Linked DNA regions of Arabidopsis thaliana. The protein of the gene in region 1 purifies or fractionates together with the protein of each later gene. This does not show direct contact. Each region holds a gene or a part of one and is shown in the gene's direction. Other genes may lie near its edges.

Region 1 (10,590 bases):
GTTTTTAGATCTAAATCAGATCAGTCCACTTGGGTTTGGATTTATGTGTTCAATTTCTCACAGGACAAGCATTGCTATTCGCGGGTACTAGAGCTTCTGGTGAACGTATGGGCTTACCACAGTGCAAGACGCATTGTCTACATAGATCCTGAGACTGGTTTGATGCAAGAGCAACACAAACAGAAGAACCGGCGAGGGAAAATGTGGGTGAAGTGGTTCGATTACACAACTCTGAAAACAATGGACGAAGATCTAGCTGAAGAAGCCGACTCAGACCGTCGTGTGGGTCACTGGCTATGGCCATGGACTGGCGAGATCGTGTGGCGCGGTACATTAGAGAAAGAGAAGCAAAAGAAGAATTTAGAGAAAGAGGAGAAGAAGAAGAAGAGTCGAGATAAGCTGAGTAGAATGAGAAGTAGAAGTGGTCGTCAGAAAGTGATCGGAAAATATGTAAAACCACCGCCTGAGAACGAAACTGTTACCGGAAATTCCACTTTGTTAAATGTAGTAGACGCATAAAAGAAAACAAATTAAAATTGCTTCTTTTTTTGTTAGGTCACTAATTTGTTTCATTCATTGTTTTTGGAAAGATTACTGTATAAAAGGTCTCAAGTCTCATTCATTCACTCTCCCTCTCTCTTCTCACCTCTCTTCGATTTAACCGACGGCTTAAATTCTCCGGCGGTGGAGCTTCACTGTGAACAACAAAGAAAGAGAGAAGATGGAGGAGACGCAAGTTCTTGAGATCAATCTCATCTCTGCGCAAGGACTTAAAGAACCGACGGGAAAGCTCCGGCGATTGCAGACTTACGCATCCGTCTGGGTTGATTCTTCCAGCAAACTCCGGACTCGAATTGATCGGATCGGCTCTGAGAATCCGATCTGGAACGACAAATTCGTTTTCCAGGTATCGCCGGAGTTTCTATCTAGCGAAACTTCTGGTGTTTCAATCGAGATCTACGCCGTTGGTTACTTGCGAGATCATCTGATCGGAACTGTTCGCTTCCTCGTGAGTAACTTCCTCCCAACCGCCGCCGTGAAAGTTCCATCTCTCGTCGCGCTTCAGATCCGTCGTCCTTCTGGAAAGTTTCACGGCGTTCTTAACATCGCGGCTATGGTGATGGATGCTTCTGAACTTCCAGCTGATTTCTTCAAGTCGGTTCAAGAGATCCGTCGGAGTCGGAAAATGAGAAAGTCTAGATCTGCGGTTAGTTCGTCGGAGAACGGTTCCGCTGACGACGGTGAGAGTTCGAAAGAGAATTCGGTTTGCGGATCGGTTAATTTCTCCGACGACGGTACTGACTCGACGGCGTCTTCTCCGATGCCGTCTCCTCTCAGAGACTGGAACGCTGTTCGAAATTTGGCGGGAAAGAATCACGTGCGATCGTCATCGGACGGCGGAGGATTGATGTGCTGTTTCTTGATGAAATCGTCGGGCATGTTACCACCAAGAAGAAAAATGACGGACGGCTGAGATCTGTTGTCTTGAATTTCCAACGGTTCAGATGTTCCTTTGGTTTTCTAAACCATCGATCTTCGTCACGTGCATCTCTGTCAACGGTTCAGGTCTCCTTATCCCTTACGTCGTCGTTTAGGCAGTTTTGGCGGTTATGAGTGTTAGTTAACAAACAGTTTGGAATTTCTTTAGTTCTAGTTGCTCAAAACATTATATTCAATAATTGTTGTTTCGTTTTTGAACAATTAAAAAATCTTTTTGATATGAAATAGTAATAATTCGTAGATCACAGAAAAAAAGTGTAGTAAAAATTATGTAAAAAGTGAAAAAAAAAAAAACGCGGGAAGTCGTTTATGAAGTTTTGAGGAGATAATTGTTAGTTTAACGGCTGGATTAGTTAAAACCACTAATTACGTCCTACCAGAAATAACAAAATCATCATCTTTTATAAAAAAATCAATCACTCTCTCTTGTCTTCTTCATCTTCTCTGTTTGTGCCTTCCTCTTTATCAGAAATTGCAGCTTGTACGAAAACAGGTAAATCTTCATATACGTAGAGCAATCAAATTTTTAGTTTTAAGGTTTTTTATTAAGTTCATAAATTTATGATTTTGCTATGATCTATTTAGGGTTTAAATTATGGCAAAGTTTACGAGATTGATAACAGCCATGGAGCTGAGAGCCACGGTGGAGAATCGAATTCGATACTCTACAAAACACATTAAACACTTGCCACCTGGCTCAATCACTGAGTTTGATTGGAAGGATTACTGTCCCGTTGGTTTCGGGTACGTACGTAATAACATAGTTTCATGTTTTAAGGTAAAAAAAAGAAGAGAATTGGTTTTTGTAATGTTTTTTTTGTTGTTGTTTGTAGACTTATTCAAGAACTTGAGGGTATAGATCATGATGATTACTTGCTATCCATTTGCACTGATGAGACTCTCAAGAAGATTTCTTCTGGGAAAATTGGAAATGTCTTTCATATTTCCAATGATAACCGTTTTCTCATCAAGATTCTTCGAAAATCCGAAATTAAGGTACCCCAAAATCATCTTAACACAATCTACTTTTAATTTTTTCAAGTGTGTATATATGTTCCATATTGAGTCTTTCATTGAAAACAATCTTGTGAAGGTGACACTAGAGATGCTTCCACGTTACTACAGACATATTAATTATCACAGATCATCACTATTCACAAGGATTTTTGGTGCTCATTCTGTGAAGCCTCTTGGAGGTGTTAAGGTGACAAGGATTATATATATATACCACTCCATTATTAGAGTTTGATCAGCCACTAATTAGTTACTTTTTTGGGGATACAGACATATTTTGCTGTGATGTCAAACATGCTACATTCAACGATCTTTGTGAACAAGCTCTATGATCTTAAAGGTTCTCCGAAAGGTCGATCTAACAAGAAAATTGAAGTGAGAAACACCACTGTTTTGAAGGACATCGATTTCGATTTCTGTTTCTACGTTGATCCTTTGGCGAGACAACGCATCATCAAGTACTATCCCACCCCCACCCCTCTTTCTTTCTACCATCTTGATTCTAGTTACTCAACAATTTATTAAACACAAAAGGGGTCATCTCATTACAGGCAAACAAAGCTAGATTGCGAGCTTTTGGAAGAAGAAGGTATAATGGATTATAGCTTATTGGTTGGTTTACAATCTAAAGGCTCATGTCAAGGTAATGTTTCTTCTCTCTTCTTAGGAGTGCAACTATTTGCATATCGACTTTGAACTTTTCTGATCATAATAATAAATCACTCTTAACAGGTTCACTTGATGGATTGAACCCGGTTTACGGTAGCTTCGCACCTCCAAGTAAAAAATCCTTACCAACATTCTTCATTCTTTTGTTTTATGTTCTTATATACCAAGTCTTCAACATAAATGTCTACCGATTAAATTTTTCAGGCTCGTTCAAAAGCAATAGCACAAAGTCGATGAAGACGGCTTCTAGTTCTCCTGATAGATCTTCTGTAGCAATGTATTCATGCTCTCCCGATAGAGGTAACAATGTAACTTTTTAATCTAATTAATCATAGTACTTAACAAAAATTACAATTTTTATAAACTTATTGTCTTACTAACAGATTCAGTCGAAAACGAAATGTCAATGACTATACAATCAGTGACAAGCAATAGCGCAAGCTCAGAAACAAATATATTAGCCACAACACTCAGTGACCTCTTTCACAATAGGTAAAGCATTATCCTACTCCTATATAACAACATTGCTAGAAATTTCACATCAAAAAAAATATATATATATATCTAACTTTTCTTGTTTCAGCTCAAATATCAATTTTGGGATGAAGATTCCAGCGAGGGCACGGCGAGTGACGAGAGAAACCGGAGAAGAAGAATGGTACAATGTTGTTTTGTATATAGGGATAGTAGACACATTTCAAGACTATGGTATGAAGAAACGCATAGAACATTGTTACAAATCCATTCAATATAACTCAAACTCAATCTCAACCGTCCATCCTAAGATCTACTCTTCTAGATTCCAAGACTTTGTCTCCAACATCTTCCTACCTCACGACGATGATCTCTCTTCGAAATATTGAGTTGTTTGTTATTTTTGATTTCCAAGTGGAATTATTAGAGTGTTAAGAGGTACACTTCTTACGACCCAAGTTGGTGTTGGTGTTTGTTGTCCAAAAAATCCTCTCTTTTCTGACTTCATTGTTGATCGATCAACAAAATGTAGAGAAAAACATGAACTATTAATACACATATATCAAAAATATAAAATACAGAAAAAGACAAAACCCAAAATAAAAAAAACCCAACATTGTTCTTGGTTCAACACAAAAGAAAAAACCAATCAAACCAAGTCAACCCTTTAATTAAAACTTTCAGTTGGAACATATATATCTCTGTTTACTTTGTTTTGTTAATCACAAAGCAGCATTTAGAACACTTACAGAGATTAGTCTTGTATGTCTACATTGTTACTCTCTTTAGATCTCTTAGAGATTAGGTTTAGCCAGTTCAACGTTTTTCTCCTTAATCTCTAAATAATTCTTCTGTTACAACATTACAACATATTTAATATCTTATTATCCTTAACCTAACAACTTTTATACTAAACAAAACAAAGCCATTTCTATTTGGGCTTTACTTATCTTATGGCCCAATTGACTTTTCTTCTTTCTTCTTTTTCACGACGCTTCTTCTTCCTCCTCGTACAACGGGCTTCTTCTTCCTCCATTACTTACTCAAGTATCTTTTCTCTTCATCATCTTCTCATCTTTCTCTTCAAGTTTCTCTTGTATGATATTAAGCAATTAATAGATTCCAACATAGTCATGTTTCTGCGTTTGATTATTGTTCTTGGAAGTATAATCTGAATTGGAAATCTCTTTTATTGCAGGTTTAAGATGAAGAAGAAACAACAAAAGCAGGAATTTGTAGCTGAGACATCAGAGATGAACAACAACAACGAGTGTTCTGGACAAGACCAACAAAAACGATATGTGTGGCCATGGGTTGGTCTAGTAGCCAACGTACCAACTGAGGTGGAACCATCTGGTCGGAGAGTAGGCAAAAGCGGTTCAACGTTACGTGATGAGTTCACTCTGAAAGGGTTTAATCCAACAAGAGTCAAACCCATTTGGAATACCAAGGGACATACTGGTTTTGCTTTGGTTGAATTCGCTAAAGACTTTAAAGGATTCGAAAGCGCCATGCAATTCGAAAAGAGTTTTGATTTAGACCGTCATGGGAAGAGAGATTGGAAAAAAGGTAAAACATTGTTTTTAAAAGTCATTTGCTTTTATTGACATTGATAGAGTTCACTTTCTTTGTTTGGAAAAGGTCATCGCTTGAGAGATGATAAGCTTTATGGATGGCTTGCGAGAGAGGATGATTATAATCGAAGTGATACTGTTGGGAAGAATGTCAAGAAGAAGAGGGATTTGAAAAGTATCTCTCAGATTGTAGAGGAAGACCAGAGGAAACTGTATCATCTATTTGAGAATATGTGTCAAACCATTGAGAAGAATAAGCAACGTAAACAACAGCTTGAACAGAAAGTTGATGAGACTTTGGAGAGTTTGGAATTTCATAACCTTATGTTAAACAATAGCTACCAAGAAGGTAAAACAGAAACACTTTAATAAGCTTTCTGTTTGTGTTTTCATGCTGACATGTGTATTCTTTTGGTTTGTTTGTTTGTTATTTTGATGAGAAGAGATTCAGAAGATGGAGAAGAATATGCAAGAGTTTTATCAACAGGTTCTTGGTGGACATGAAAAGTCTTTTGCAGAACTGGAGGCAAAGAGGGAGAAGCTTGACGAGCGTGCAAGATTGATTGAGCAACGGGCTATCAAAAACGAAGAAGAGATGGAAAAGACCAGGCTTGAAAGAGAAATGGTGATTATGCTTTCCTTACAAATTAGGAGAAAAATATCACAAGGCAATAAAATCTTTCTTGTTGTTGTTGTTGTAGATTCAAAAGGCTATGTGTGAGCAGAATGAAGCGAATGAGGAAGCTATGAAACTTGCAGAAAAGCACCAGGCAAGTACTTCTTTAGTGTTTCTTTAGTTATGAACAAGTAATAACTAACAACTTTTGCAGAAAGAGAAGGAGAAGCTTCATAAAAGGATAATGGAAATGGAAGCTAAGCTAAATGAAACGCAAGAGCTTGAGTTGGAGATAGAGAAGCTGAAAGGTACTACAAATGTGATGAAGCATATGGTGGGTTGTGATGGAGATAAAGATATTGTGGAGAAGATAGCCAAAACTCAGATAGAGCTTGACGCTCGAGAAACAGCTCTCCATGAAAAAATGATGACTCTCGCACGAAAAGAACGTGCGACCAACGATGAGTATCAAGACGCTCGTAAAGAGATGATTAAGGTTCGAAAACGTTCTAAATATATCTGTTCCAAACTCTTTGGCTTGTCCTTTTAACTTGTGGAATTACTTTTGATGATGAGCAGGTATGGAAGGCGAATGAAGAGTTGATGAAGCAAGAGAAGATTAGAGTGAAGATAATGGGGGAGTTGAACCCTGCACCCTTCTTGCCTGCAGTGATGAACAAACATAAGGCTATGATGCTGTGTTCAGTGTGGGCAGCAGAGATAGGAGATGTGCAATGGACTCCATTTAGGGTCGATGAGTCTGATGGAACACCAAAGGTTAGGACTTTAACTTAGGAGTCTACACTTTCATAAATCTCAAAAGATGGGTTTGTAGCAAAAATTACATATATCTCAACATTCCAAATGTGAAATGCAGAGAGTGGTGGATGAAAATGATGAGAAGCTTCGTATGCTGAAGAACCAGTACGGTGAAGAAGTTTATAGTGAAGTGGTAAGAGCAAAGCTAGAGATGGAGGAACATAACGCTAGTGGCAGCTATGAGACTGAAGAGCTTTGGAACTATGAGGAGAACCGAAAGGCGACTATCGAGGAAATAACAGATGTGATGTTGAAGATAAGGTCCAAACTTGCTGCTATGAAGAACAAACGAAAGAGGCCTTGAGGAGACAACTATGAAGAGCCTTAGGAAAATGTTGTCCCTTTTTGTTAAGTTTCCAGTTTCAATTAGTTTTTCTTATCTTGTGTTGTTGATTGATAATATATCGTAGAGTCTTAGATCACAAGAAATGGAGCTGAGAAATTGTTTCCGGTTATGTATGTTTGGTTAAATTGGATTATGAATTGCTTATCATTATTATATACTTACGTATACATGTACTTGTCGAACATATATTAGCCATGTACATATAAAGGATTTTGGTTCCACATCTTGTTCTCTGTTAGTTTTGACAACTTGACAATGTCTGATTGTTATCACCTTCAAAGGCTGTTTCAGATCTTTTGATACAACGTTTAAAAAAGTCAGAGACATTGCATCAGTTTTCAGGAAAAACCTACTCAATAAAATCAGATTCTTGAGTTACAAGAAACTACATGAAGCCAAAGCTTTACCATATCCTAAGGTTGCCAACTTTGAGTCTTCTCCCAAGGCTTGAAAACACCATCATGAGAAACATATTTCAAGTAAAAGAAAAAGCCACGCAGCAACTTCAAAGCTCTTGCCTTATCATCAACACCAACCACAAGCTTGTATTCTTTTTCGAAATCAGGGAAACTTTCTAGATAAGATTGTCCCAGTTCGCCAGTCTCATAAACAGATCCTCTTCCCTTTCGTAGTTCTCTGCATCGAGTCATTTTTCTATGGATTGATACGTCACGATGGAGCTGCTTCATCTCTTCTTCATCATATGGTTGTTTCAGAACATCCATTAGCTCCTTTCTAAACCAAGTGATACTACTTTCATTCTTTTTGCTTCCTTCATCAAGATCAACTACTTTCTTGGACGCCACAAACGGTGTACACTCTTCTACATCCAAAAACGGCGAATCACCCATCGCAATTATATAATCAGACCAATCATGATCTGGTTCAACCTTCACTTCGACTAGTGGATCCATTTCAGGTACCATTGTCGATTCTTTTAAAGTATCCATATCATCTTTCTGAAGATTTTCCATTGGCTCAGTTGTCGAATCCCTAAGAGAATCTACAAGCCATGTGAGGTACCTCATGTAATCCTTATCCACAACCGCTTCACTACCCTCATTCTTCTTCCTTCTCCCTACAAAAACTTCTTTGCTCCTTGAACAAGTCTCATCTACATCATTAACCTCTGTAACTCTATTTACTCGCTCCACATGATCAATCTCCGCAACAACCCTCTTGGCTAGTTGAATCTCTTCTGCAGTTCTAACCAATGGAACTGTGTTGTCTCGTTGACTGTCTTCTTGACTTCCAACCAATGGAACATCATCTCTTCTTAAAGTCTCAGTCTCAGCCTTTGAATCAGAAAGTTTCCTAACTCGTTGTTGAATGTCTTCTTGTTGGGTTTCGAGTAAAGGAACGTCTCTTGAAGCCTTTGCAGCATCTAACATCGCAATCCTCCGCTTTCTTCGTTCAGCAACTCTGTTGTCTCGTTGAATGATGTCTTGGATTTTATCTCTTTCAGCCTTTAACCCAACAGTTTTCCTCTGGCCCTGTTGATGAACTCTGTTCTTCATTGGATTCTCATTCTCAAGCTTTGATATCTTCGAATCACAAGAAAAGATCTTTAATTTACGAATGTCAGATTCTCCATTGTCAACTTCAAGACGAGGGCTTACACTTCCTCTTCGAAGATGATCCAAGAAGACGTTGTAGTCCTTATCAATCATAAGATCATCATCATCATCTTCGTCAAGACAGATAATTGGAATATATCCATCATCAATCACAATGGCTTTCTTCTTCATCGCAATCAACACTCTATTAAATCGAATAAAACAGAACAAAAATTAGGAAATAATTATGCAAGGAAAAACCCTAATCCTTGTCGTTAAAACCATAATGCAGAAAGAAACCATGAAAGCTATATAAAGACAAAACAAAGAAAGCCAAAACAGATGAAGAAACGTAGAATTAAGCATACCGTTTAGAGCGACTCTGCTTGTGAACACAAAACTCAGAAAATGAAGGAGATTTTGGAGAGAAAAGGAGAATGTTGTTCTCAAGAAAGAGAGAGAAATAAGAAACGGAAAAGGAAAGAAGGTAATAATATATATTAGGGTTTAAATGCAGATATCAAGTTTTGCTACACCATTAAGGAAATTTTGGAGATAAAAGGAGAATATGAAGAGACGTGAGATAAGACTTGAGAGTGGCTACGACGGCTATATAAATTATTATTCTCAGACACACTTGAGCATGCATTGGGTTACATTACCTTTTGATGGATTTGGTATTCGCAAAACAAACTTTTATTTCACCTTGTTTTTGCCAGTATAGAGATATTCTTGCAATTAAATACCTATCAACTACCATGACTCACTAAGTACAGAGTAATATTATACTCTCTAGAACAAAGAAACTAAGAACAGAGAAAGAGATAGAGAGAATGTGAGAATTACAACATGATGTTATTCGTTATCTTCTTTAATGAAAATTTCGATTACTTAATTACAAATTACAGAGGAAAATGAAACACAACACACAGCTTCATAGTTCATACCTACGCAGAGCTGAGTTGTATTAATGTTATAGTAATTTTTAATGATATGTCAACACGAGAAAAATCTAGTGTTTTTATTGTATTGATGATATTGATTTCCAACTAAAAACATAATCATAGTTCGAAACCAAATTACACAAGGACAAAAAAATAGCTTTACTCATAGACTGACGTTGAAGTATGGGTGGTGTTTTTGAAAAGTTTTTGGTAGTTTGGTGAGAAATTTGAAGACTATCTATTTGTTTATATAGAGATGAAAATTTAGAATCATTTTCCTTCTATGATTAATAATTTATTGTAAAATTCCCATATAGCTATTGTATTTTTATATAATAAGATTGTATAATTTCCTAAATCTATTTAAAATTTTAAAATAAAAAATAATCATTTTTCTTTTAGAATTAGTAGCTTCAAATTAGAATTAGTATCTAATTTCTTTTTTGTTTAATTTTGTCAGCAACTTTATATTATTTCTAATTTTATTTAAAAATATACATATAGTTTTCTTATAATTATCTTATTTACATATGAAAAATGTTTAGTTACTATATAATTATTATTTTTACTTTATAATTTCTTATAACTATTTTATTAGAGTTTTAAGATTAATAAAAGAATTTTTTTGTCTAAGATGTATCAAATTCTGAGATCAATAAATTTGACACGTATCGTGAACCTATGAATTAATAACTTTGAAAATCATATTTTATATAATAAGATCTTAAAATGGCAATAAAAAGATAGATTATAAAATTTGGAAATCATCTAAATATTACACATCTCATTTAGTTTATATAACTTTACTTTGAAATATATATATATATATATATATATTTATTTATTTATTTCGAATACGACAAACACAAAATTTGTATTATTAAAATCTCAAAAAAAACTAAACCCCATAGATTCATATAATAATCTTTGAAAGGAAATTTTTTAAAAAATGGAAATTATCTAAATATACCGCATATCAATTCATTTATATAACTTTTTGTCAATACATTTATTTCGAATACGACAAACACAAAAATTTGCATTTTTAAAGTCTCAAATACCCAAAAAAACCCATATC
Region 2 (9,693 bases), about 14 Mb from region 1:
ATTCTATAACTCACTTCCACCTATAACCAAGGCTTATGGTACGTTGTGCTTTTTCACTACAGTAGCCACGCAGCTTGGCTTAGTTGCTCCCGTTCACATTGCTTTAATTCCTGAACTTGTACTTAAGCAGTTCCAGGTATATGATTTATTCTTTTTTATGATTTTCCTTTCTTTCTCACAAATCTCTGTCATCCTAAGTTCCTAATTCATTCTGCAATTTTTGATCTATTTGGTGTTTGTAGATCTGGAGGCTGATAACAAACTTGTTTTTCCTCGGTGGTTTCTCTATCAATTTTGGAATACGTCTTTTGATGATGTGAGCATACTATTTTCACATATATAGATGAACAAAGCTAATTTCGATTTTTATTATCTTAACATACTCTTTTAAATGATTGTGCAGAGCAAGATATGGAGTTCAACTCGAGAAAGGGCCATTTGAAAGGCGGACAGCAGACTTTTTGTGGATGATGATCTTTGGATCCTTCACTCTATTGGTATGTAAAGCCTCCCCTGTATTCTATTCTTACTGATCATTGTTATTGGTTCTTTGAGAACCCCAGTACTAGTATGTGGTATGCCACAAAGTAGATAATCGCTGGTACATAATATCCCAAAGCTGAGAAGATCAGAAGCTCTCAAAGAATTGAATCAGGGTTGCATTTTATTAAAGCGAGACAAAATTTTGGAAGGTATTCATACTAGTAAATCCGTGTGTTAAAACAGTTACCTTGTTCAAATTTCAGGTATTATCAGTCATACCATTTTTCTGGACACCGTTTCTTGGTGTTTCACTTGTGTTCATGCTTCTTTATCTCTGGAGCCGAGAATTTCCAAATGCCAACATCAGCCTATACGGTCTTGTCACTCTTAAGGTATTGAAAGTGTTTCTTTTGTAATCAAATCCACTCCTTGGTATATATAATGTTAATGGTGAAAGTTGGAATTACTCCACAGGCTTTCTACCTCCCATGGGCAATGCTAGCACTTGATGTTATCTTCGGTTCTCCGATCATGCCAGATCTTCTTGGCATCATAGCTGGACATCTATACTACTTCCTAACAGTCCTTCATCCTCTTGCTACCGGAAAAAACTACCTGAAAACCCCAAAATGGGTGTATCCTTTATTCAAATTCTCGATTATTTCCAGATGATTGTTTCTCTCGCTTCTCAGTTTTTGTTTTGCTGTTGTACCTTGACATTCTCAACAGTAATAAAATCGTAGCAAGATGGCGAATTGGAGCTCCAGTTGCAAGTGTTCGACAAGCAGGTGGTGTAGGAGCAGCAGGACCCGGAGCTGGAGGAGGAGTAGGAGGAGGAGGAGCTTATTCAAGCGCTCGTGCCCCACCCGAGAGTTCAAACACAGCATTCAGAGGTCGATCATATCGTCTCACCGACTGAAATAGAAATCTTCTCGAGTTTCTTTGTTTTCATCATATCAAATCTTTTTCAAACAATGCCACTAACTAATCCCAGGTAGCTTTGTGTTTTCGAACAGTACAGTTTTTGAATATATGACTCTGTAGGAAGAATCTTTGAGGTTTTAATACAATGTTCTTTTCAAAATGTGGTTCATGTTTCTATGTTTTTGTTTTTGTCTAGCAATCATCTCCTTACTAAATTGAATTCGATAAACTATAGCCACTATGAATATAATCAAATGAAATTTGTGACATAAGAATTTGGACGTAACGAGTTTGAATATCTATCTAGATAAGTTATTAAATTCGTGACCAAAGAGTTTGGTCGTAACAAGTTTGAATTTTTTAGGACATAATATTATTATTGGCTAACAAGATTACGACTAACGAGTAAATAATCATTCCTTCGGTCCTTCCTCTAAAATGCCGTTGGTGATCGTTTATAAATAGGGGAAATAGGAAAAGGGAAGAAAGTAGACGTGGCAAATAGCGAAACAATGATTGAGCTATAACAAAGGCGAAACTTGAGCGGCACTAATTGAAAATCACTCCTTGTTTTTTTGAAGAAAAAGTAAGATGTAGGGCTGAGAATTCGTCTATGTGATCCAACGGTTTTAAAATGATCCTTGTTCCTTCCTCTCCTATTTATCTGAAGGACGAAGTCCCCACGCTGCACATAACCGGGGCACTTAACGTATAGATCATAAACAAAGAAGAAGAAAAAAAATAAGAAAAGAAGAAGAAGATGTCGTGGCAAACTTACGTTGATGAGCATTTGATGTGTGATGTTGGCGATGGTCAAGGACACCACCTTACTGCTGCCGCTATCGTTGGTCATGACGGTAGCGTTTGGGCTCAGAGCGCCAACTTCCCTCAGGTATTTGATTTCATTGCGTCTGATCTCAATGTGATTTAGATCCTGATAGTGTTGCTATCCGATATGATATGTGTTTTTACAATGTGATTTAGATCATGCATCATGTTTTGATTAGATTCTATCAATGTTTGTCATGGGATATATATATAGTGTATTTTGTGTGTGTGTGTTTCTTTTTATATGTTTTGCATAGATTTGAAAACAAATGATGCATGTTGTCTCATGGTAATCGACTAATCGTGATTTGGTCTTTCATATAGTTCAAGGGACAGGAGTTCAGTGATATTATGAAAGATTTCGACGAACCGGGTCACTTGGCACCCACGGGATTATTCATGGCAGGAGCAAAGTACATGGTGATCCAAGGTGAGCCCGGGGCTGTAATCCGTGGCAAGAAGGTAACCTAATCAGTAGCTTCATGATCAGATATGCAAATACCATGTTGAAGAGGGTTCTAATTCAATATATGCTTCTTTCAATTAGGGAGCAGGAGGCATAACGATAAAGAAAACAGGACAGTCATGTGTGTTTGGGATCTATGAAGAGCCAGTGACACCAGGACAGTGCAACATGGTCGTCGAGAGGTTGGGTGATTACCTCCTCGAACAGGGTCTCTAGAATCTTCTTACAATGTTCCACCACCTACATTTTTTTATAAGGCCATTGTTTCTCCTATTTTTTTCCTTTGGGTGATTTGCATCTCTTTCTCTAATTGATATTATAAGTTTTGGGCTAATGGACCTTCCTGGTTTCTCCCCATAGCAAACTTTTAAGAAAGCTGAAGCCTAAAAGGCTTTTACTCTCTTTGCCTTGGTTTCTTATTTATATGCATGTTTTAGTTGTTTTCTCTTTGCTTTTTTGTCAATTGCATTCTGTCTACTACACTAAATATTAACGTATTGATTGAGAAAATTGCATTATCATAATCTATAGAAAATTGTATGTAGTGTAGTAGAGACATTAATCTCACAATACTAAAAACACTTTCAAAATTTACACGAGCATTTAACACATACATCAACACTCATTATTTACAACAGAAGAAAAAACTGATACGCAACGCAATCTTTCCTAGTGATTTCATTCGTAAGAAAGAAAAAATGAACATGAGAAAGAAAAATGGCAACAGGCAGAATTCATTCATCAACTTTAATCTTTAATAGGAAAGTAATAATAGTACAATTATGTCGGAAAATCATTCCCATCCCATCTGTCTTTATTATGTGCTAATCTAACAGCTCATCGAGAAATCGAATCTCAGTCTTTTTTCCCTATTATTACATTATCACTTAGATATAAGGAAATTTTTGTTATCTCACAATATTCACTTTGAATCAATACGATGCACATATAACAAATTAACAATAGCAAGTGATTGTTTCTCTTCAATAACTCAAAAACATTTTTTTTTTTTTTGGAATAGAAAAAGGTTTATTAACCATCTTTCTAAATTTTGGGTAATTAAGAAACATTTATTGACAATGACATTAGGAAAAGAGAACATTAATTGTAAAGGGTGGACCTAAATAATTGGAATATTTTGGTGTATGGCACACAATGCAAGAGCATATCCACCCTGTAAACAAATTATGGCCATACTTCGATCTCTTTTCTTTGATTTTGGAAATTAAATTCTCTAGTATTGTTTTTTTTAGAAAAGAAAAAAAAACTTTTGTATTGTTTATTTATGTAAACTTCATTTGTTCCAATAAAATCTAAAACGTTTTCACATTTGGTTTGACAATTTTATTTACACAAATTTTCAATATACTTTTAGCGTTAGATCAAATTATACCATGCAAGAATTATATGCATTTTCTATATGATCTTGTTTAAAAATAAAAACTGTAGAAATAATGTAAAACCCGAGAAATGAAATTGTTAATAGATTAAAAAAATCATTTCTTTTAACCGGATGCAAATTTTAATCATTTTAAAAATATTTTCTTTTGATTATCATTTTAAAATTATTTATCGACTTTCACACAAAACATTTTGAATTTCATTTGTATCTACTTTTTTTTTTTTTTTGGTATTTCTTTTAGCTGTCTTTATCAAATTCAGTAAATAAATAAAATATGTATTTTAATGGAATTTTTTGCAGTAGAAATTAAAAAAGAGTTTTTTTTTATTGGAAGGCTAAATCGTGTTATTAATAATTTAAGCTCAAAGGTTGTCCAAGTCTACAAACCAAAAGCACGCTACAGAAGAAGAGGAAGAAGAAGAAGAAGCAGAGACAACAAGAAGAAGAAGAAACAGTCTCATCTCGCCGGAGAAGAAGAAAGATGTCGTGGCAATCATACGTCGATGACCATCTCATGTGCGAGGTCGAAGGCAACCACCTCACACACGCCGCCATCTTCGGCCAAGACGGCAGTGTCTGGGCTCAGAGCTCAGCTTTCCCTCAGGTTTTTCTTCCTTCTTCTTCGCGTTTCTTCCGATCCTCTGTCTCAAATAAGTTCATCGATCTGATTCAATCGTCTGATTTAGGTTTATTCCTTGTGATCCGATCTGAGGAAACTTGGATCTGGTTTTGATTTGCTAGCTTCTGACTTGTTCTCTCTGACAATCTGATTTTCTCAGTGATTGATTGGAGTTTGATTCTGAGATTTTCATGGTTTCAGTAGTCAAATCTTGTCTATAGGTGTTTTGCTTGGCACAGAATCTTATCTCCTTTCAATTCATCAAATGATAAAACTTTTCACCAAATTCTTCAAAATTTGGTATTTTACTTGAATTTGAGATCTTAGGGTCATTGCATATGAATTGTCACCTCTGCTCAGTATTGTATAAACCATGTAAAGGATCTGTTGTATTGGTAGTAGTATCATTGCTCAGTCGGTTGAAGCTAATTGCCTACTTTGTTGTTCTTGTTCATGTATTTAGTTGAAGCCTGCAGAGATAGCAGGAATCAACAAAGACTTTGAAGAAGCCGGACATCTTGCCCCAACCGGGCTATTCCTTGGCGGTGAGAAGTACATGGTTGTCCAAGGTGAGGCTGGAGCCGTCATCCGAGGGAAAAAGGTAACATTTTTCATTCGAGAAGACTCTTTTTTTGTGGTTTTGATTGAGATAATGAATCAAAGGATCAGTCTTTTAGATCAGCAAGTTAAAGTCCATGCTTACTTCTTGCAGGGACCTGGTGGAGTCACTATCAAGAAGACTACTCAAGCTCTAGTCTTTGGTATCTATGATGAACCGATGACCGGAGGGCAATGCAACTTGGTCGTGGAGAGGCTCGGCGATTACCTTATCGAGTCTGGTCTCTAAGTTCACTCAAAGTGCTTCAAACAAATTTCATTTTTCGGGTTCTTTCTTCACTAGAGAAGCACCCTTCTGCCATGTATTGTGATTTGATTGTTGTTGTGCATCAAACAAAGTTATTATACTCTTAAAAAGAACAAAGAAACAATCATATTTGTTATGGTTTTGATCCTCTCCTATGATGGCTCTTATGTTTTTCTCTTGTACTGTATTTCGTAATGTATAATTACGCTTTGGAATAAAAATTTGAGTTTGTGATCATTTGTTCTCGATCAGCTCATAAAAATTTTCTAGGTTCAGTCACAAATACATCACCAAGCTTGACATTTCGGTTACGTGGTGAAAGAAATTACCAAGTTCAACAGTTGGGCTAAATTCTAGTTTAAGTTCGCTCACTACTCAAAACTTCATACAAAAGAAGGCGACAGTGCATTCATGTACACACTTGTCACCAAATACTCGAACAAACTACAAAACACGGCAACAAAACAGAGACTGCAACCACCATTTGTCTGAATGCTTCATTGGTTGACGAAGGCGAAGCCAAGGGGGAATCAATGGCAGTTATGTTTCCAGTGATATTACCCGCCATTGTTCTGTTGAATCTGCAAAAGTAACAACAACAACATCAGCAAGTAAGATTCGTTTTTCCAGTTCGATAGATTCAAGATTGAGTAATCAGAGAGAGAAGTCACCCGTCGGTAGCCGGAGCAATCATGTACAAACAGTTACCATAACCTGCAATTTCGAGAGCTCAAATGAGACTACTATGGCTTCACATTACTCTTAATGGATGTGTTTTGGAAAGTGTATGTATACAAATACTTACTTGGATCCTTGTCAACTTCAACGCTGGCTCCATTAAAGCTGCAATCTATGCTGCTTGCTCCGCTCTGTTGGTAATAAGTGTTGAATGCATAAGATGCGTGTGAGAGAACAGTATCTGGTTCAAAGCAAGGTTGGTCTGGTTGAACAGCTGAACAATCAACATTTCCAGGACCACAAGCCCAGTCCAATGCAGTCTGCAGTTCCGTTACCGAAGCTTGTGAAGAAGCAATACACCATTTCTTGGTTCCTCCTCCTCCTCCTCCTCCGATGGTTACTGTCGAGTTACCGTTGATAATTGGACTTGAACTTGGACTTGGACTGGTACCTGTGGTTGAATTTGTTGGAGAAACAGGCGTAGTGTTTTCCCCAGTGAAGTCTAAAGCGTAAACATTAGTTCCGTTCGCGTAGAACATTCCCCAGTTTCTCTCGGATTCTATCCCAGGCTTCCGGTTCTCATTGAACAACGAGAATAAGTACACATCTATCTCTTCTCCAGGCTTTGCAGGAGTACCTAACCAATAGAAAACAAATCAGTTCATAAAATGCTTCCATCTATCTTTGTATCTAATGATCATAAAAAGATTACCTGGATCACCAATGACATGGCGGATGAGGTTGGTATTGTAAGCCAGAGCGTTCTCAGGAGTTGCAGCTGTCTCTTTAGGCGAGCCTTTACTCGGCCACCCGGACTCAGTGACCATAACCTTAACGGTCTTAAAGCTCATAGCAGTCAAAGCGAAATAGATAGCGTCAAGCTGAGCATCAAACATGTTGGAGTAAAGCAAACCCGTGGCAGGATCAACAACCTGCGAAGATGACTCGAATAGAGCATACTCCAACGGAACTTTTTCAGTGGAATCTCTGTAAGCATAATACGGATACAGGTCTATCATAAAGGGAGACTCATTCTCAACCAAGAACTCAAGCATTGGTTTCAAGAACGCTGAATGCTTCTTGCTGAAAGAAGCTGACGAAGGCGGGAAGGAGCGTGACAAGATAGCAAGGGAATGTGAGCTCGAGATCTTGATCTTTTTATCCAAACCAGACTTCTTAAGAGCTGTGTGAATGTTTCGCATCGCAGGTAAGACTAGACCAGTGGCATTGTCTGGTGCTTCAGTTACTTCAAGACCAACTGAAATCGAAGTGATTTTGGTAGATGGATAATAAGGAAGGATGTTGTTGCTAAGCCAAGTATCTACATTGGATTGAAACTGAGCAAATGCAAGTAGATCAGCGTTAGGGACACCAATCATAAGCTCGATTCCAGTGTTTGCAAAAGCTTTAAGAACATCAATGTTGGCGTCATAGATTCGAACAAATTTGATGTTGAGATGTTGGATTAGCTCAGAGACTCTGTTAGGACTTGGAAGATTATCAGCATTTCTTCCATAACATATCCCAATCTTGCTAGCCATACCAAAATCTGCAACAAATCCACAAAACAAGTCTCAAAAATGGCTGCTTTTGAATCTCAAATGTCGATTCCAAACACCTAAAAGTAGTTCAAAGCTAACAGATTCGAGATTTTCAGACAAGAACTACTACAGTGAAACAGAGATTAACCCAGGACAAAAAGTAAAGCATCGAACTTTAACATCAAGAAGACAAATTTAAGAGATAGTGAAACATAGAAGAGAGAATCAAAGGTAAATGCAGACCCAAAAGAGGATTTGAGTGTAAAGACATACTCAAAAAGGCAAGAATGGAGACAAAAATCCAGAAGACTAGATTCAGTCTTTGACCCATTTTTCTTTCCTCTGTCTTTCTCAAGCTTTAAACTTCACTCAAGTGTTTATTCTACACCCTTGAACCCAGAAATGAAACGTCTCACTCTCAAGAACACTTAAGTAGGAAGCACCGACTTTTTAAGTGACGCAAGAGAGATTTAGAGATAGAGAGAAGTCACTGGAGGTGAACGTTGTGTGCTTTCTATATCAGAGTTCGGATTCCAGCTGAAAATATAAAATTGAGTTTGTAGAAACGTCTCGATTCCGTGAATTAAGCGAGCATGTTTGCTCTCTCTCTTTGACTGTTGTAGTAGATTTTACTGCTTCGAGAACAAAAAAAAAAAAAAAAAAAAACTTTTTTAGATTTATAATAATAAAAAATAATATTAAAAAGATAAATGGGTTCGAGTGCAAAGAGTACTACAGTACAGACAGACCACAGTGGTCTGCTTTTTTTTTTTTTTTTTTTTTTTAACGGTCCAATCTCCACTCAATGCAATTTTTGTATTTACCAAAGTAATTGCAATTTCTTACATTTGATTTTTTACCATTTGAAAATGTAAATCCAGTATGTTGTTTTGGAATTTTAGAGTGCACAAGCATAAGTTGTTTTTGGGTCTGGCTACTAGTTTTATCAGATTTTAAGCAGTGTCATAAGTAGTTGATGAGAACATGTGGAACATTATAAAGGCTTACTTAAAATCAAGATGATCTATTGCTTGGAACAATGATAATAAGAGTTTGAGCCTAATAAGGGTATAATTCAAACGATGTATCTAATATGGATTTGATCATGGCAATGAAGGTACTGTATACAAAATTTTATTAAAGATGATAATGTCGTACCAAGTTAATTTCTTGATTTGAGTGGGCGTGGGCCAATTGGGTTTCTTCTCCTATTTTTCTTTGGGCATTAACCCATTAACTACAGTGAATCTTTTTTTGAAAAACAACGGTGAATTTCTTCTCGATTCTCTTAACATTTTGACTTCAAAAATTTAGAAAGAATATTTCTATTTTACTTTTTTTTATTCAAAAAGAATATTTCTCCCCAAATCTACACTACACGATCTCAAAATTCTAAGAATATTTCTGCTTAGAATTGCCTGAGCACCAATCTCCCCAATGGTTATGTGGAACCCCAAAGCCAGAGCGGGAACAACAATTTTTTATGCCGAGATTTCCTTAGAAACAAGATGCAATGGAAGTGAGGTTTAGGGTAAGGCTGAGTGGTGGTCTGATGCTATGGTTACACAATACGAGTCATATCAATTCCAGCATTGTATAAGTCTTTCGGTTTGATGACTCTCTCTTATTTAGTCTCTTGGAGATTGAATGTCCCTTTTTTTTTTTTAATATTTTGAAATAGAAATTTTACGAAGATATCATACAAAAATATGATTGAGTTAAATTATCAACAATAGTTAATTAGAACGATAAAACACTAGAAGTAAATTTTGACCATGCTTTTATCTGGAAAGCATTGTTTCAATGAAATTCAAAGGTTTGTGTAGCTTTTTTATCTTTGGTTCAATCTCCACTGGTCACAGTTTTATTGTAAGGTTTTGATATATA
Region 3 (4,963 bases), on another chromosome or scaffold:
TGTGCCATACCGCATAGAAGAGTATCTGATATAGTTTGTTAATTTTGTTCTTCTTCAAATTCTGTAATTTTTGTTGTCTGTTTTGTTTAAATTGTAGCTAATCAGGCGATTGCCAGTGGAAGGAGACAATCCTTTTGGAAAAGAGGCTTCCGTTACTGCTACTAAAATATTCCAATTTCTAAATCAGGTAAGTTTCATAACTTTTCACTGCCTTGTGTGTTCAGATCTGTTTTTAGGTAGAACAATGTGTCTCAGAGCTACATTACTTTTTTAAAACTTAGCCAAAGTTAGTTCATACAAGCTGATTGACAACGTTGAAAATTCTCAATCAACAGTTTGTAGATATTAGCTAAAGAGACTGCTGTTATTGCTCTGTCTCCACTACAGTCATCAGTTCTTGTATTTATTGTTGGATTTTTTTGCTTGTTGCAGATTATCGAAGCGCTACCTAATGTTCCATCACCTGACCTGGCATTCCGGTTGTACTTGCAATGTGCTGAGGTAAAACTACGTACCTGTTTATTTAGTATGCACTTGCTCGGTAAAATGCTCACAGATCTTTCCTATTTCATCAGGCTGCGGATAAGTGTGATGAAGAACCAATTGCATACGAATTTTTCACCCAGGCATACATCTTATACGAAGAAGAAATTTCGGTTAGTTATGTTTTCGCGGACGTTCATATGTCTCGTGTCTAAACCAAAGCAAGTAGGTGAGTTTAACTCTCTCTCGTGCGTCAAAAACTTGCCTTTTGAACAGGACTCAAAGGCCCAGGTGACTGCGTTACAACTTATAATTGGAACTCTGCAGAGGATGCAAGTATTTGGTGTTGAGAATAGAGATACATTAACGCACAAGGCTACGGGGGTATTTCATCATGATATGATAATTAGTCTCTTACCATATTCAATTGTCTCTGCTTAAAGGCTGACAAGGGAAAACTTATACTCTTGCAGTATGCAGCGAAACTTCTAAAGAAACCTGATCAATGTCGAGCTGTTTATGCCTGTTCTCATTTGTTCTGGCTGGAAGATCGTGAGACCATACAAGATGGAGAAAGGTAATACTTTCTTCTGTGCGATAGAACACAGTGTGTTTAAAATAGCTCATTAGGTTTCTTACTTGAAATCAGGGTTCTACTTTGTCTGAAACGAGCGCTTAAAATTGCAAATTCGGCTCAACAAGTGGCCAACACAGCTCGGGGTAGTACAGGGTCTGTTACCCTCTTCATCGAGATACTAAACAAGTAAGCGCTTTTTATTGTTTGTTTTACTTCTCATTTTCCCAGATCAGCAAGCAGCATTATGTAATGTGAATTATGGCAGGTACCTCTATTTCTATGAGAAAGGGGTTCCACAGATAACAGTTGAATCAGTAGAAAGCCTGATAAAACTGATCAAGAACGAAGAATCGATGCCCTCTGATCCATCTGCTGAATCATTCTTTGCAACTACGCTTGAGTTCATGGAGTTCCAAAAGCAGAAAGAGGGTGCCATTGGTGAGAGATACCAGGCGATCAAAGTATAGAATCTCATGTTGGTCAAAAGAAGTCGGTTTGTTTTTATTAAAAAAAAAAAAAGCTTTGCTTTGAGTCGTTTGAGAATCGGAAAGGGACTGATATTGTGTTGCTTGCTGCTCGAAATGTAAACCCGGGTTTAGGTCTAGTTTTATTCCTCGGATTTTCAAGGCGGTTCATGGTCTGTAACTTGTGGAGTTTGATGTGTGTTTATACGAATCTTTAGTATTCTGAGTTTAACATTGGATATTACATATTAGATAATGTCCTTCATGAAAAAAGTATTCATTTTATGTATTCTGTTGAATGATTATTGACGCATAAAAACATTTTCAATACCATTGTATAACGCATAATTAACAACCTTTGTGAGGCTTCAGCCTTCAAATATATCAATAGAAATTCAGTTTACGAAATCAACTTAAAAAATTTTGAAAAAATAATAAAATTTAAAAAAAAAACAAATTGTAGGTTAAATTTTTTTAAAAACAAAATAAAACAGAAAAGAAACGAGAAAAAAAAAAAGCAAAACAATCGGAGAAAGTTGATGGAGGAGATTGTTCGTTTTGTGAACGCTTCAATGGCATAAATTTCCGGCCATCACATTTCTTCTACTTTCTCTTTCTCTCTCCCTTGTTGTTGTTCTCTAGAATTCGATTCATCGTTGTTAACGTCGTCCATTCTTCTTCTTTGATCCCTTCTTTGATCTCTCACATTTCCGATTCCAATTTAGGGTTTCCTCTCTTTTCACATTTCTAGGGTTTTTCTTGTTCCCTTTGTACCGGAGATGGTGAATTGAAAGGAAAAATAAAACGCTTTTGAGAGCTTATATTTGAGGTTGTTTCCTCAGGTTTTGTAGATCTGAGGTTGCTATTTTTGAATTAGAGATTCTTTTTTTTTTTTTTCAAAATTTTGTTTGTTGTGATCATACATAGACGTACGTAGCTCCATTTCTGGTGGAGAAGGAAGAAGAAGAGAAATGAGCGCTTCGAGGTTCATAAAGTGTGTCACCGTTGGCGACGGAGCTGTTGGTAAAACCTGTTTGCTGATTTCTTACACCAGCAACACTTTTCCTACGGTATAATGTTCCTTCCTTAGATTGAATCATATTCTGTGTTCTGTGAATTACAAGCTTCAAAATTGTCTTCTCTATTGATTGATGAGACCAAAGCTTGTGGCAATACATGAATCGATCCATAATTTTTTTTTGGTGTTATGAGGATTTGTGGAGCTTTGTATCTCATTGAATCTTGTAAATTCATGTGGAACAGGATTATGTACCGACTGTTTTCGATAACTTTAGCGCAAATGTGGTTGTTAATGGAGCCACTGTGAATCTTGGGCTATGGGATACCGCAGGTACTGACTAAATAATAGGGATCTTACTTAGTAGTAGCGGCAGCTATGGGATTTGGGGTCTGAAACTTTTGTTTTGTTGTTGTAAACAGGGCAGGAGGATTATAACAGATTAAGACCTTTGAGTTACCGCGGTGCTGATGTTTTCATCTTAGCATTCTCTCTTATCAGTAAGGCTAGTTATGAGAATGTCTCCAAGAAGGTACGTTTTTGAAATGAATGTTTGCTACAAGTTTTGATATGAATACTCTGAAGAAAGTCTTTTGGTTGTGATTTTTGCTGCTTTATCTTCGTTTTGCAGTGGATCCCAGAGCTGAAGCATTATGCCCCTGGTGTCCCTATAGTTCTTGTTGGAACCAAACTAGGTAAGCTCGTTTTTTGACATATATGTCTGCTAATTTGATTTGTTCACGTCCAAGATATATCCATGTAGTACCTTTTAGCTCTTTTGTGTCTAGCGGAAACTAGGCCTGGATTTTGGAGTATCACAAATCCTGAAATAATCTAGGTTTACAAGCTTGTCTGTGATGTTTCGTCATCATTTTTAATGAATTCCGCGATACGTTATGGATCATATCTCACATTTTCTCTTGATAGTTAACCTCCATTGTAAGAGACAACTACATGCATGTAAGCAGCTGTTGGATGTCTAGCAATTATAAACCTAATAGAAAAGGCTTATACAAGATGTTGTGCCAAAATTGGTGTAACGGATTCTGTTTCTTACTTTTAATACCAATGCTTAACTTTCGGCCTGCTGTCTGATCCGTCTAGACCTACTTTTAATAGTTATGAGTTTCGTCTGGTGCTTATGTTTTGTGTTTCATCATATATGCCAGATCTTCGGGATGACAAACAGTTCTTCATTGACCACCCTGGCGCTGTACCAATTACTACTGCTCAGGTAAACAGAATTTTTCTTTGAAATGTGTCAATTTACTTAGCCTGTTACTTAAACGAACCCTTTTAACCGTTCACCACTTTGGGCATCAAAGGGAGAGGAACTGAAGAAACTAATTGGAGCTCCCGCATACATCGAGTGCAGTTCAAAAACACAAGAGGCAAGACACAAAAACTTTCCCTTTTGTTTTGAGTACTACTCTGCTTCTTTACTTAGCTTTTCTCAAAGCTTTTTTTTAATGAAATTGCAGAACGTGAAAGGAGTATTTGATGCAGCGATCCGAGTGGTTCTTCAACCTCCAAAGCAGAAGAAAAAGAAAAGCAAAGCACAAAAAGCCTGCTCCATTTTGTAATTTCTCTACGCTTCTCTTACGTATCTCTCTCTGTCTCTCTGTCTCTTCCACTCTTCTAGTGAAGGCTTAAGAAGAAAACACATTGGGCTTAAAAATTGTTCCAGAGTTCGTTGTGATAAGCTCTCTTAATCCTTAAAAAAACGATTATTTCTGTTTATTGATGAATAGTTTCCAGCTTTAGCTGAGACCTAATATTGCACTTACCACTTCTCTATTCTTCCTTCGATTTCAATGACTAGTTGAAGAAAACAGAGATGATGGATTTTCCACTTCAACTTTACTTAAGTCTACTAATTTGAACATATTACTTGTTCTCATTCTTCCAATTCTAATTTAACAAATGGTGCAATTTGGTATATTTTATTGTCTTGAATACTTCATCCAAAAAATTGTGATGCATATAAGTCTTTAAAAGTTCTGAATGTTTCAGTATTGTGATACAAAAATCAGAATTTTGCATTCAACTATGCCAGTCATTACCTTCTTTAATATATTTTCTTATAAATAAACCTCTCAAACTCCACTTCTCATCCATCACACAATCCTCAAAACAAGAGAAACAAACCCAAAAACAGAGCAATCTCAAAAAGATGAAGCTGCTCTCTTCAGTCTTCACCATGCAACTAGCCAGCGCCTCCGTTCTTACCTCGTGTAGAACAACATATAAGTTCCAAAAAAAAATAGTCATGTTGCTAAACGATGCCATTTCACAACATGCACTTCATTTCGCTTTTGAAGTTTAACTGACTTGTGAAGAATTTGAACAAATGGCCCATTAGCTCAGTTGGTTAGAGCGTCGTGCTAATAACGCGAAGGTCGCAGGTTCGAAACCTGCATG

The links.
Region 2: the proteins of PIPK10 (region 1) and PFN2 purify together in Arabidopsis thaliana (affinity purification with mass spectrometry, with the first as the bait; one study listed by BioGRID). This does not show direct contact.
Region 3: the proteins of PIPK10 (region 1) and ARAC1 purify together in Arabidopsis thaliana (affinity purification with mass spectrometry, with the first as the bait; one study listed by BioGRID). This does not show direct contact.

What each region holds. Positions count from the first base shown.
Region 1 is NC_003075.7:497,667-508,256, reverse strand, and holds PIPK10 (phosphatidylinositol phosphate kinase 10), read left to right. Parts: upstream 1-1,853; 5' UTR 1,854-2,095; coding exon 2,096-2,244; intron 2,245-2,333; coding exon 2,334-2,496; intron 2,497-2,593; coding exon 2,594-2,704; intron 2,705-2,784; coding exon 2,785-2,972; intron 2,973-3,065; coding exon 3,066-3,157; intron 3,158-3,246; coding exon 3,247-3,294; intron 3,295-3,387; coding exon 3,388-3,483; intron 3,484-3,566; coding exon 3,567-3,675; intron 3,676-3,766; coding exon 3,767-4,046; 3' UTR 4,047-4,122; downstream 4,123-10,590. Other genes in the region: AT4G01210 (glycosyl transferase family 1 protein), read left to right, coding at 64-519; AT4G01200 (Calcium-dependent lipid-binding (CaLB domain) family protein), read left to right, coding at 722-1,474; AT4G01180 (XH/XS domain-containing protein), read left to right, coding at 4,863-5,226, 5,299-5,580, 5,675-5,856, 5,933-6,001, 6,062-6,343, 6,427-6,624, 6,683-6,970; AT4G01170 (uncharacterized protein), read right to left, coding at 7,426-8,760.
Region 2 is NC_003075.7:14,445,551-14,455,243, forward strand, and holds PFN2 (profilin 2), read left to right. Parts: upstream 1-4,337; 5' UTR 4,338-4,584; coding exon 4,585-4,707; intron 4,708-5,185; coding exon 5,186-5,323; intron 5,324-5,434; coding exon 5,435-5,569; 3' UTR 5,570-5,844; downstream 5,845-9,693. Other genes in the region: DER1 (DERLIN-1), read left to right, coding at 1-136, 243-316, 404-497, 747-875, 958-1,118, 1,213-1,402; PRF4 (profilin 4), read left to right, coding at 2,168-2,299, 2,560-2,697, 2,783-2,917; AT4G29360 (O-Glycosyl hydrolases family 17 protein), read right to left, coding at 6,012-6,168, 6,259-6,301, 6,393-6,902, 6,978-7,814, 8,050-8,137. UniProt on the Arabidopsis thaliana protein: Binds to actin monomers and regulates the organization of the actin cytoskeleton. At high concentrations, profilin prevents the polymerization of actin, whereas it enhances it at low concentrations.
Region 3 is NC_003071.7:7,737,818-7,742,780, forward strand, and holds ARAC1 (RAC-like 1), read left to right. Parts: upstream 1-1,969; 5' UTR 1,970-2,495; coding exon 2,496-2,594; intron 2,595-2,787; coding exon 2,788-2,875; intron 2,876-2,964; coding exon 2,965-3,074; intron 3,075-3,173; coding exon 3,174-3,237; intron 3,238-3,711; coding exon 3,712-3,776; intron 3,777-3,867; coding exon 3,868-3,933; intron 3,934-4,023; coding exon 4,024-4,125; 3' UTR 4,126-4,463; downstream 4,464-4,963. Other genes in the region: VPS35A (vacuolar protein sorting-associated 35A-like protein), read left to right, coding at 98-187, 433-501, 576-656, 760-867, 957-1,060, 1,133-1,246, 1,326-1,527. UniProt on the Arabidopsis thaliana protein: Inactive GDP-bound Rho GTPases reside in the cytosol, are found in a complex with Rho GDP-dissociation inhibitors (Rho GDIs), and are released from the GDI protein in order to translocate to membranes upon activation.